Caenorhabditis elegans: one gene and its partner. The protein of the gene in region 1 interacts with the protein of each later gene in a pairwise test. Each region holds a gene or a part of one and is shown on either strand. Other genes may lie near its edges. The genes, in order: ssr-2 and C52A11.3.

Region 1 (6,931 bases):
TGGCTCTTTTTTTATTGGAAGTGTTGACCTGCCATAAAAACTTTTTGCAAATTTTTTGAGAAATTTCATCATGACTGTTCATTTTATCAGATTTTAAGTCTTTACGTTCAACCAACTTTTCAATTTTGAACGTTTTTTTATTAAAACCATTTGTCTTTAATAAAATGAGATAAACTACCAAAAAATGCAATAAAATTTGAACCACCATAAAACATTTTTGGCATTTTTTTTAGAGAAGTATTATTTTGAAATTTGGTTGTTTTGGACCAGTTTTAGTATATTTAAGCAAAAACCCCACAAACTATGTCCCCTCCTTTAAAAAAACAATGCCATCAAGTCATCTCATCTAGATTCCTACTAACAATTTTCAAGTTAATGGTGTCAAACAGGGGACGAATTGCTTGCTCTGTTGCTGCGAGAGTGCTCTTTTTGCTTCAATGCTCATCAAGTCCTAATCTATCCATTGCTAGTTTTTGTCGACTTCGAACCAAAAAAAAAATGCGCAGAGGAGTTCCCTTCTCATTAAGCTTTTTTTTTTGATTTGTTAATAATTGCAGGTACTCATTTAGCTGGAATTTTTTAAAAATTATTTTTTAAATTTTGAGCATTTTTAGGTAGGCTTCACAAATTTTAATTTCTTATAACTTAAAAATTTTGCGTCCCTGATTTTATTTGTAAATTTTTGCTAACAAGAATCTAATCTTTCAATCGGAACTAAGAAAATTTTTGTGAATCTGAAACTAATTATTTTCTTTTGTTTCTCGTTTTGATTTAGAATTAAGAGAATTCTGAAAATCAAAGTCAGTTCTGGAAATGTGTGTTTCTCGATAAAATTGATTGCTACTCGGAATTTTGGAAGTGTAGGCATTTTTAATTTTTTTTGTTTTTTTTTTGGGAAAAAAATGAAAAAAAAAGAAAAATTGTTTTACGGTAAAAATTTAAAAATTGAACGAATGATTTTTCAATTCAAATATCAATGAAAAATTAGAAAAAAAAACAAATCCCGACAATTTTGCCCAGTTTTTGCCTTTTTAAATTCAAAATTAAATCAGCCGCTTCATCTCAAATATTTTGGTTATTGGCAAAAGTTATCAAAAATTTTGAAATTTTTTGCAAAAATTCCCAATTTTGACTTCTGTTCCTGATGCAACAAATTATGATAATTCAAAAAAAAAGTCACTTTCGGACCGCTGCAAAAGTGGCGGAAATTAAAAATGTTTTGCTAAAATCGCGATAATTTCTTTAACAAATATTTTTGAGAAGTTTCATTAGATGGTCATTTGAGAATTCTTCACGTTTAAAATTCTCTCCTTTAATTATTCTAACATTTCCCCGTTTTTATACATATACTTTCCAAATTATCAGATTTTGAAACCAAACTTTTCTTAACATTTTTACTGTTTAGTGAGGCTATTGTTTTTTTTATTTCCAAAATAACGAGAACTGCAATAAGACTTCTTTTCGTAGTACAACTCTATTATTCAGGGAAAATATTTGAATAGTAGTTTTCCTATTATTCACGGAGCATCAATTTCCAGAGAGTGCTTCTGGGTTGGTTATTCACACACACACACACATAGAAAGACACAATGCCTCTGCACCTTGCTCATCCATTGGCACTCAGTTTCATTATGTTTGGTTTTTACTGCTCACGTTTGTTAATTCCTTCCTTAACTATCAACTATTTTCTGGGGCCTAGTTTACTGTAGGCTTTTTTGGAAGTAAGATGTTGAGTGTGTGCTCTGCATGTCAGAGAGCTTATACCAATGTAATATGTAGATTACGAGGCTCTAATCCGTCAACCAGTAACTGCTCTCCTCATTTCTCCTGATCTAGACCCAAGGAGAAGTGAGAAAGGAAGAAAGACGAGGATAAAAAGATATAATTCCGGAGAGAAGGGGGGGGGGTGTTTTCTCTCTTATACTCCCTCTCAAGACTCATATTCATCTTCATATTCTCTTTCTATCAGTTAGTATCTTCCGAGAAAGAAAAAAAAAGCGAGAAAGGAGAAGTCACGTTTTCCGTCCGCGGCTTCTCCCAACAAAACAAGTGACGCAACCCTTGTTCAATCGGCTGTGCAGACCAGCCAAACCTGCAACTCATATTCTGTCCGTCGGTATTTTTCTTTTCTTCTGGTCCTTATTGTGCACCGCGATGACTTCAACGCTTCCATCAACAATTGTAGGTTTACCAGATCAGGAAGAAAAAACATAAGGCGTGAGAAAAACCAAAAAATAGGAAAAAAAGAGAGGTCTACACCAGTGCTGTGCCGCTTTTTAAAAAACTTTTTCCATACAAAAATTGATATAGAAATGCAAAAAATGGTTTGTTCCGTCTGAAAATGAAATTTTTTTTGTAGAATTTTTTGTAGAGATTTTTTTTACTCCCAGTCAATTTTTTGGCAATTTGCCAATTTTTTGAAAAAATTTTGACTACTGGAACTTCTTGATGTATAATTAAAACAAAAGTAAAGTATGAAATTCGCAGAATTTAATTTTTGACCGACTTTCAAAATTAGGAGTACATGTTTTTTTTTGACCGACTTTCAAAATTATAAATATGTCATTTTGGCACTATTGATGTAGTTTTGAACACTTTCCCCACTGGCCCTACTCCACATTTAACACCATACCAACCTACCTCCATACTGCAGTAAACAGAAATTGAAAGTTTGAAAAAAGGACTAAACGGAAGGACTCGTGGATGAAATTAACAAGTGATCCTACAAACACTAGTTAGATCTCTGTATTCATTCAAAACCTTTCTCTACCCCCCCCCCCCCCCCTCTTAACTTTCAAACTTTGAGAGTTTTAAATTACAAACGACTTGTATTTATACGAGCACTTAAAATCTTACATTGTCTCTCATTTTATTTGGAAAGGAGAATTCGTTTCATGACTTAATATCCTAGCCACCAGGCATAAATTGCTATGGAGAAGGTACATGAACCATTAAAATAGCAAACAAGGCCAAGAACATTTATTGCCAAAACTCCGATTCTCTTCCCAATATTCCAACTATCCATTTTCAAATCTTATATTGTGTGCTTCCCTGTCAATATGTTCAAATGCTTGCAGCCCAAAACCGAGGACGAAATGTGCGAAGAACGGTACCGTCTGGTGGTGCTGGGTTCTGCGAAAGTGGGAAAAACTAATATTATTCGTCGCTACTTATATAATGAATTTTCAAGCAAGTATAAGGAAACGATTGAGGATTTACATTCGAGAGAGTTTCGTATCCAGGTTGGTTCTTTCATTCAAATCTTTGGGTCAGGGCTTCCATAGGAGGCAGGCAAGCTTCCAGGGCCTAACACCTGCCTCCAACCTGCCCGCCTCACGCCGCCCTCTCGCCTTATTTCAGCTTTTGCCGCGGCCGACACTTTTCGGGTTACTCGACGCACTATACAGAAAGCGCGAGGCGAGCGGAGGTCGCCGCAAGGAAGGCATTTTGGTACCCGCGTGGAAGGCCTGGGGGAAGTAGAATTTGTGGATATTTTGCTTAAATAGGGTGAAACTGGCCCAGCACGGCCGAATTTCATAATGAAAATAATTTCCAAACGTTTTTAATGAGGGGTCAAATTTTCAAAACAAATTCTAAGAAACGTAGTCAGATTTTTTCAAATTCTGAAATTTCGCAATTTTTCTTTGCTGGAATATAGTTTACCAGCCGTGGACCGCAACTCCGGCGCGGCCCCCGACTTCTGGAGCTGAAAACCATATTTTCTGAAACTACCGTAATCATACAGTACTCCTACCGTACCACCATTGTACCACTACAGTACCCCGACTATATCCCTACACTAACCCCAACTCACTATCCCTCCAGAAGCCAAAACTTCACAGACTACAAAGACTACAAAGACTACAAACTATGGACAAACGGAATAAGCGCTTTATATATAGTAAATGATTTTTGAAATTATCAAACTATAAAAAGCATACTCTGGTAGTTGATATCGTGTAGGCATATAAAATTATCAAAATTTCAAAAAGCGACAAAGAAAAGCTGGCGGAGTTTCAGATTTTAGAAAAATTTGGCCGCCATGAAAAATTGGAAGTTTTTTGAGAAGTTTCATTACGAAATTCGGTCGCTTTCGGTCTTTTTCTCTCTACCCTTCCCCCCTCCCTTTAAACTTCCAAAGAACAAATGGAAAGTTGATTCACATTAATGTTTCAGGGTGTCCCATTACCACTAGACATTTTGGATACCAACTTCAATTTTCCCGACATGAGACGTCTTTCGATTGCATCAGCGTCGGCCTTTCTTCTAGTTTTCTCGGTGGACGACGTCACAAGCTTCAAGGAGGCAAGTTAACGATACCGTAACCCACATTTCCGAATTAGCAGCGAGTTTTGAGCAAAAATAGACTAAGTCTTCACACATGTGCGAAGGATAGATGAGCAGCTACTAATGCGACAAGATTTCATATCATTTTCAGATGTCGGATATATGGCAAGAAATATGCTCAAGGCGTAGTGATTTGAATGAGCTGCCGATTGTTGTTGTGGGAAACAAATGCGATGTTGAAAATAAGAAGGTAAAAAATTTCTGAATTTTCTTTTGAGATTTTTTTCTGGTACCCATTTAAAGATATACGAAGAAACGGCGAAAGCATTCACAAATCGCTTATCGTCCGACGTTCGTTATATCGAGGTGTCGGCCAAAGACAATATCCGGATTACCGACGTATTCCGCACACTGCTCGAATTATCCGGTTTCCCACGATGCAAAGTGAGTGTGTGTGTGCGTACGCACACAATCTATCTTGATAGAATATGAGAATAGTGTGAGTTATTCAGGCGGGTGGTGGTCGTCTCGATGATGTGGCCGAGGACGAAGAGACCAGGAGCAGCCCATCGATCCGTAGATCGGCAACGGTGCGGGCGAAGTCGACGACTAGGCGGGACCCGAGGAAAACATTGATGGAGGTACAAGCAGCTGAGTTGTATAATTTCCCAGAAAAGTTCAAAAGTTTAAATTGAAATTGTAATGCTGTAATGCTACTTGTTGGGGGGATAAGTCCTGGGTGAAAAAAAAAATTATAATTTCTTTTAGTGGCATATCGATTTTTTCTAATGCGGGAATGCATGCTAGTTCAGCTAAGTTACGACGTTTCAAAAATAAAAAATCTCCTCTTGAAAAAAAAAATTATTTGTAAAAAAATTGCTTTTTTGAATATTGATAAAAATACTTCTGAGTTGATCAAAAAAAGTTTTTTTTTTGAATTTGTTGGTAAATTGGTTAAGCATTTATATGGTACGGCTACTAAAAAAGTTTTTGAATAAAGCAGATTTTGAATTTTTACTTGACAATTTTGCTGTGAATATTAGAAAACCGTAATCCCCGAAAATAAAAAATAATGAATTTATAAAATTATTTTCAGTTTTTAATGATTTCTCAAGTTTGCAAAATTATGCTCATTATATAAAATTCACCAGCAAATTAGTGACGTCATTTTATACATTTTCTGTGTTTTTGATACATGAATTTCTTTCTGGTTAACAACTTTCATTTTCCAAAAAATGTTTTCAAAATTGGGAAACTGTGTGTCACATCAAATATTCAATAAAATAAGCAGAGAAACCCCAATCATTATAGCTGGAAAGCAAAAAAATGACAAAAATGTCGTCACTAATTTGCGCGTGATTTCATAAATAATTAGCCAATTTCTTCTGTTCAAAATAAAACAAAATATATTAGAAAATTAGCAAAGTTTTATAATTTTTTATAGTCACTACGGTTCCATTTCTGTCATTTAAAACCAAAAAAAGTTTTGGACTCTACTCCACCTTCAGTAAAATCCAACAAACTTTGATTCCTTTTTCAGAAAGTTAGCCGGATGTGATGTACCATTTTTTGAAGTACTATACTCTTATACGTTTGCATTTCAGGATGAGAAAAACACAGCTTCTACAAAAAACGGCTCACAATCTGCTCGTGAGCAACCTCAACTTGATAAGCAGGCTTCTCACCCCGTTCTTGCAGTCCCGCTGCACATTGGCGATTTGAAAAGAAACCTTTCTTTAAGAGTATGTATCAATCCCTATGTAACAAAACATAATTTCTCTCTATTCCCATACATGTGATGACGTTTTTATTCAGATGAAGTCACCGCGTAGGGACAAAGAACAAGTCGAGAGGAAGCTGTCGGATGAGCCTAAAATTTCACGCAGCTCCAGTCTTATCCGGTTTGAAAGAGAATTTAAAAGCAATGAAAAAGTGTCATTTTTTCAGGAGAACAAAACATCTATCTTTGAAAATGCGTCGTCATGGAGAAAAGTCAAATCACGAGGAAATCGTCGACGAGAGTGATTGCAAAATTCAATAAATTATTATTTTTTTGTAACCAACGATTTATCACTGTATTTAATTATATATCTTTCTGGGAAGTAAAATTGTATTTGGATTAACTTTATTTTGGCGATGAAACTCATGAGATAGGAGAAGAAAAAAAAATATATATATATATGAACATGTTGAATGAGAAAAAAAAATGATTTGAAAATTTCTTGACATTAATCAGTTGCGTCTGTTACATATTAAAAAATTGTGCAAAAACTCATTCAATTTCAAATTGTCAAAAAAGGATTAGGTTAAGGGAGGAAAAGGGGGTGAAAGAACAAAAATTGAAAAAAATTATCAGAGTAAGAAAATTTTGCAGTTTACTCGTAGGGCGAAATAAAACGGTTTGCAAAAAACTAATTAAGGGTGATGTGCGAAATTTGTCTTCAACTGTTTACTACTAGAATTTTAGATACACACAGAAAGTAGAAAGTATGGGAAATATTGCATTACTATTAAAACCAATTTTCTACATCACAAATTTAGGTGCATTTCTTTTTCTACTCCATCCCTCTTTTTAGAACATTTACATTGATAAAAACGTGACCTTTTTCTGTATTTTCCGGCTTAATAATGTTGTTTTCTGAGC
Region 2 (3,767 bases), on another chromosome or scaffold:
TCGTTTTTTTTTGAATTTATCAGGGTACTGTATAAAACTGTCAGAAGCTTTTAGACGATAAATTTTGGTAAGAAGTTGCAAAAGTAGTTGCAACCAAATATTGAGATAAACCCGAGTCGGCATCACTTTTGTAAGTTTATGACATTACTCATCCACATTCTTTCTGATAGTAACTGGGAAACTTTTAAGAAATTATTTACAGGATATTTTCTACTTATTTGAAATGAAAATTCGTGACTTTTGCGCTAACCAGACCTGGTCTGGGAGAACCGATTTTTCTAAAACCATCCTATCTGAATTATGACAAATATAATTGCTCTACCAGAACCCCAGTTTATACTTTATTCAAACTTAATTTATACTTATCAATTGGCATTTTCGCCGATTCAATTTCAAACAAGTTTGGCTAAAAGAGAGCAAGATGACAGAAGTATGTGAGTTTGATGTGGGCAGAGGAACAGGTGATTTTTTGAAAAAAGAGGAAAGATGGAAATAGAAAATGCCGTACGAAAAAAGTTAATTCACATTCTTCGTTTTTCGGAAATCCAAAACCTGAATTACATTCACACGGAGGCTCGTTTCTTTCGGTGTCTTCTGCTTCTGACAACACAGAGTCTCCTTGACAACGATTCGTGGCTCAAATGGAGTGAGAATTCGAAGAAAAGGTAGTAGAAGGGAATAGAAAGAGGAAAGGGATTCAGAAAAAATTGTTCGAAGAATTGTTCTGTCTTAAATTAACGGGGGAAAACAGGATCTGTTTACACGCTACAATGAGAAGTTTTGTAGAATTATGTACATTCTGAAAGCAATAGAAATACAATTTTGAAATCAAGTGCTCGTGAAAAAGGAATATTCCAGATTAAATACAAATACAAAAATAAAAATCTAAAGTATTCAAGTCAGGGAATTTTCGTACAAAACATGACAGTCCAATTTTTTCCTGGGAAGGAATAACAACATTTAAAGAGCGAATTGAAAATGAGAAAAATAATTGAAATTTTTTAGAAAAAGACTTTAAAAAAAGTGTGGTGCGTCAGAAAATCTTCAGATCAATTTCCCAAAAACCGAACTTAGGTACAAGAAAAAGCTAGAAAAAAAGGGTTAAAATTCAGCTATGTGCAATTTTTTTTTGAATTTTGGCAACTTTCAAAATTATCATACATTTTTTAAAAAGGAGTCAAATTTATATTTTGTGAAAAATTCGATTTTTTGCCGAATAAAAATTCTGAATGATTTTTTTTCCATGACACATCTAGTTTCAAACAATGTTAGCTTGTCTGATCTTCTTTTTTGAAATGAGACATATTTTTACGCATGTTAACCTCGAAATTATTAAAACTTTAAAAAAAGGAGCGGAAATGATTTTTCAAACTCCGCACAAGGTAAGATATAAGGCACAAACCAGTCGGAACTACAAAATTAACAAATTTTATATGGAAGAAAATTTTAACTTTTTGTTTTTATTTTTAACGTTTGACAGATAATATTTGCGAAAATCTGGTTAGAACAGAATTTTGGTAGCAGCTGACATTTTCTTAGATTATATTTCACTAATTTTAAATATATATTTGCAATTATTTACTGATTGTGAGAACTTTCAAGTTGATTTAGAACAAGTAAAAAAAATTAAGAACTTCTAGACTGTAGGCATGCAAGTTTTTTAACGTCATTCTTACTCATCTCAGTTTGGAAACCCCTTCTCTGATCATACTAAATAATTTATTTGAGATTGTTAGCAACAAAAAAGTCCCTAAAGTGATGACTATTGTGATTCATAATTATATAAATGTTCAATATATCACGCGTTACCCTATGATCTCATGAAAATGATCAGAGGGTAAATATGATTTATTCAAAAACAATGAAATATAATGTTAATTGGAGAGGTAAAGTTTGAGCCGGGAAGGTATAAATATAAAGTTGAGAGTAATCATTTTCTGATGAAAGATTTTTACTATCAGTTTGGACCATAACTTTCTACGGATTCCAGAACAATGCGACGAATCACTTGCTGCTTTCCGGTAATTAATCGTTTTGTGGAAAAATAATTATTGAACATTAGGATTATTATTCAAAAATACTGCCCCTTTGCTTGACAATTTTTGAAACAATTTTCAAGTATAAAACATATAAAACATCCTAAAGAGCTTATGAAACATATTTAATAATACTACAGATAAAAATTCACCGAAGACAACCACCTAGTCCACCATCAACTATCACATTGAGCAGTTATGAGTACAGTTCACTCGCTGTCGGAATCATTTCCGATTTGAAAGAAGAGGGTTGTGATACATTACTTGTCAAGCTTCAGAAGGTTTTCATCAACACTTCCATTATACTTTCATAGATTTTTCTCAGGATGCCAATCGGAAAATCGGAATGGGAGTCGGGGTAAGAGATCGTGGAATCCTCATAACCACTGTAGTACCTGGATCGGTTGCCGCTGAGAAATTGAAAGTTGGAGATCGTATTTTGGCGGTCAATGGACGTCCAATTTTGGATCAGGTAAGAATGATACAACAAATAGGAGACACAATAAAATTATCCAAAAACTGACTGAAATTGAAAAAATTTTCTAAGGGGGAAATTTGTGCAAGATGCGAGCAAGACTAACTAGTTTATATTTATAACAAACATTTAGATATCCGATATCTATATTTGTCACTTACTTCAGCGCTCGGTGGTGAAATCGGTCAAAGCATCTGGTCAACGACTGTATCTTCAAATCGCCCGTCCTCACAAGGTACATAAATAATGGTCCCTATATTTTAATTATTGCGCTACGAACAGTTTCTTTTTATCTTCTAATTATTTGAAATCGTATATTTCTTCCCAAAAATTATTTTCCAAAAGGCTAATTTCAGCAAAAAGCCTCAACCAACCTCATCAACTTTTTTTGGCATTACCAAAGTTTCTAAAATTTGTTGAAGTTTGCTGCAAGAAATTGATAAGATACAATAATTATTTCCCCAACGAACCCTTTATCTGTACCAAAATTCAAATCTCGCATTGTAACGGAATGCACTTACTTACTGTTGTAGATTTTATCCGTCAAAAAATCTATTTTGCTAGCAATTTCACCTCCTCACACACGCTATAACATTTTTTTTCCTGACTAACCTCAACAGTTTTATTGTAACGATCTTAAAAAATTATTGAACTTCCTGGTGGGAGGTTACTCGACTAATTGGAATATTTATGAAATATTAAAAAAAAACAATAAACACAAGAAAAACAGTTTATTATATACTATTCATGCGTGGGAAATTATCCAAAAATAAAACAATGAAAGATCCAAAATAAGGACTAAAAGATAGAACACTAAACTTAAGGAAATAATATCACCGCATACTTTGCAAATGGGTGTAAAACGACTAGATATTCAGCATGTTTGGAACGAATTGAATAGTTTTCAAAAAAAAAAACGGTAAAACTTCAAAAAGAAAAACATTTCAAAAAAGTACCCTGCAGAGTTTGACAGAAGAGGCGAGACATAATTGACTGCCTACAAAATGCATAAAATTGCTCGCCTATATTTCAAAAAAAAAAATTCAAAAAAAATTAAGAAAAAAATATGGAAACCTGAGTTGTGTTGAAAGTTGGGGGAGAGGATTCGAATCAAGAAAAAAACAAGGAAATAATTTTAAGGGGGAAGCGGTACGAATAACATTGAGCACTTTTGAAGGTAGGAATGCTAGAATATTATTAGAAGTTCGTCAGAAAATGAACGACGAATATGAAGGGAAAGAGTGTAAAACCCGGAA

The links.
Region 2: the proteins of ssr-2 (region 1) and C52A11.3 interact in a two-hybrid assay, tested with the Caenorhabditis elegans proteins (one large-scale study listed by BioGRID).

What each region holds. Positions count from the first base shown.
Region 1 is NC_003284.9:2,822,976-2,829,906, reverse strand, and holds ssr-2 (Sperm-Specific family, class R), read left to right. Parts: upstream 1-2,154; coding exon 2,155-2,181; intron 2,182-3,077; coding exon 3,078-3,242; intron 3,243-4,176; coding exon 4,177-4,305; intron 4,306-4,438; coding exon 4,439-4,537; intron 4,538-4,590; coding exon 4,591-4,731; intron 4,732-4,799; coding exon 4,800-4,928; intron 4,929-5,891; coding exon 5,892-6,029; intron 6,030-6,102; coding exon 6,103-6,188; intron 6,189-6,234; coding exon 6,235-6,328; 3' UTR 6,329-6,406; downstream 6,407-6,931.
Region 2 is NC_003280.10:10,735,408-10,739,174, forward strand, and holds C52A11.3 (PDZ domain-containing protein C52A11.3), read left to right. Parts: upstream 1-1,951; 5' UTR 1,952-1,994; coding exon 1,995-2,021; intron 2,022-2,176; coding exon 2,177-2,317; intron 2,318-2,361; coding exon 2,362-2,508; intron 2,509-2,677; coding exon 2,678-2,758; 3' UTR 2,759-3,221; downstream 3,222-3,767.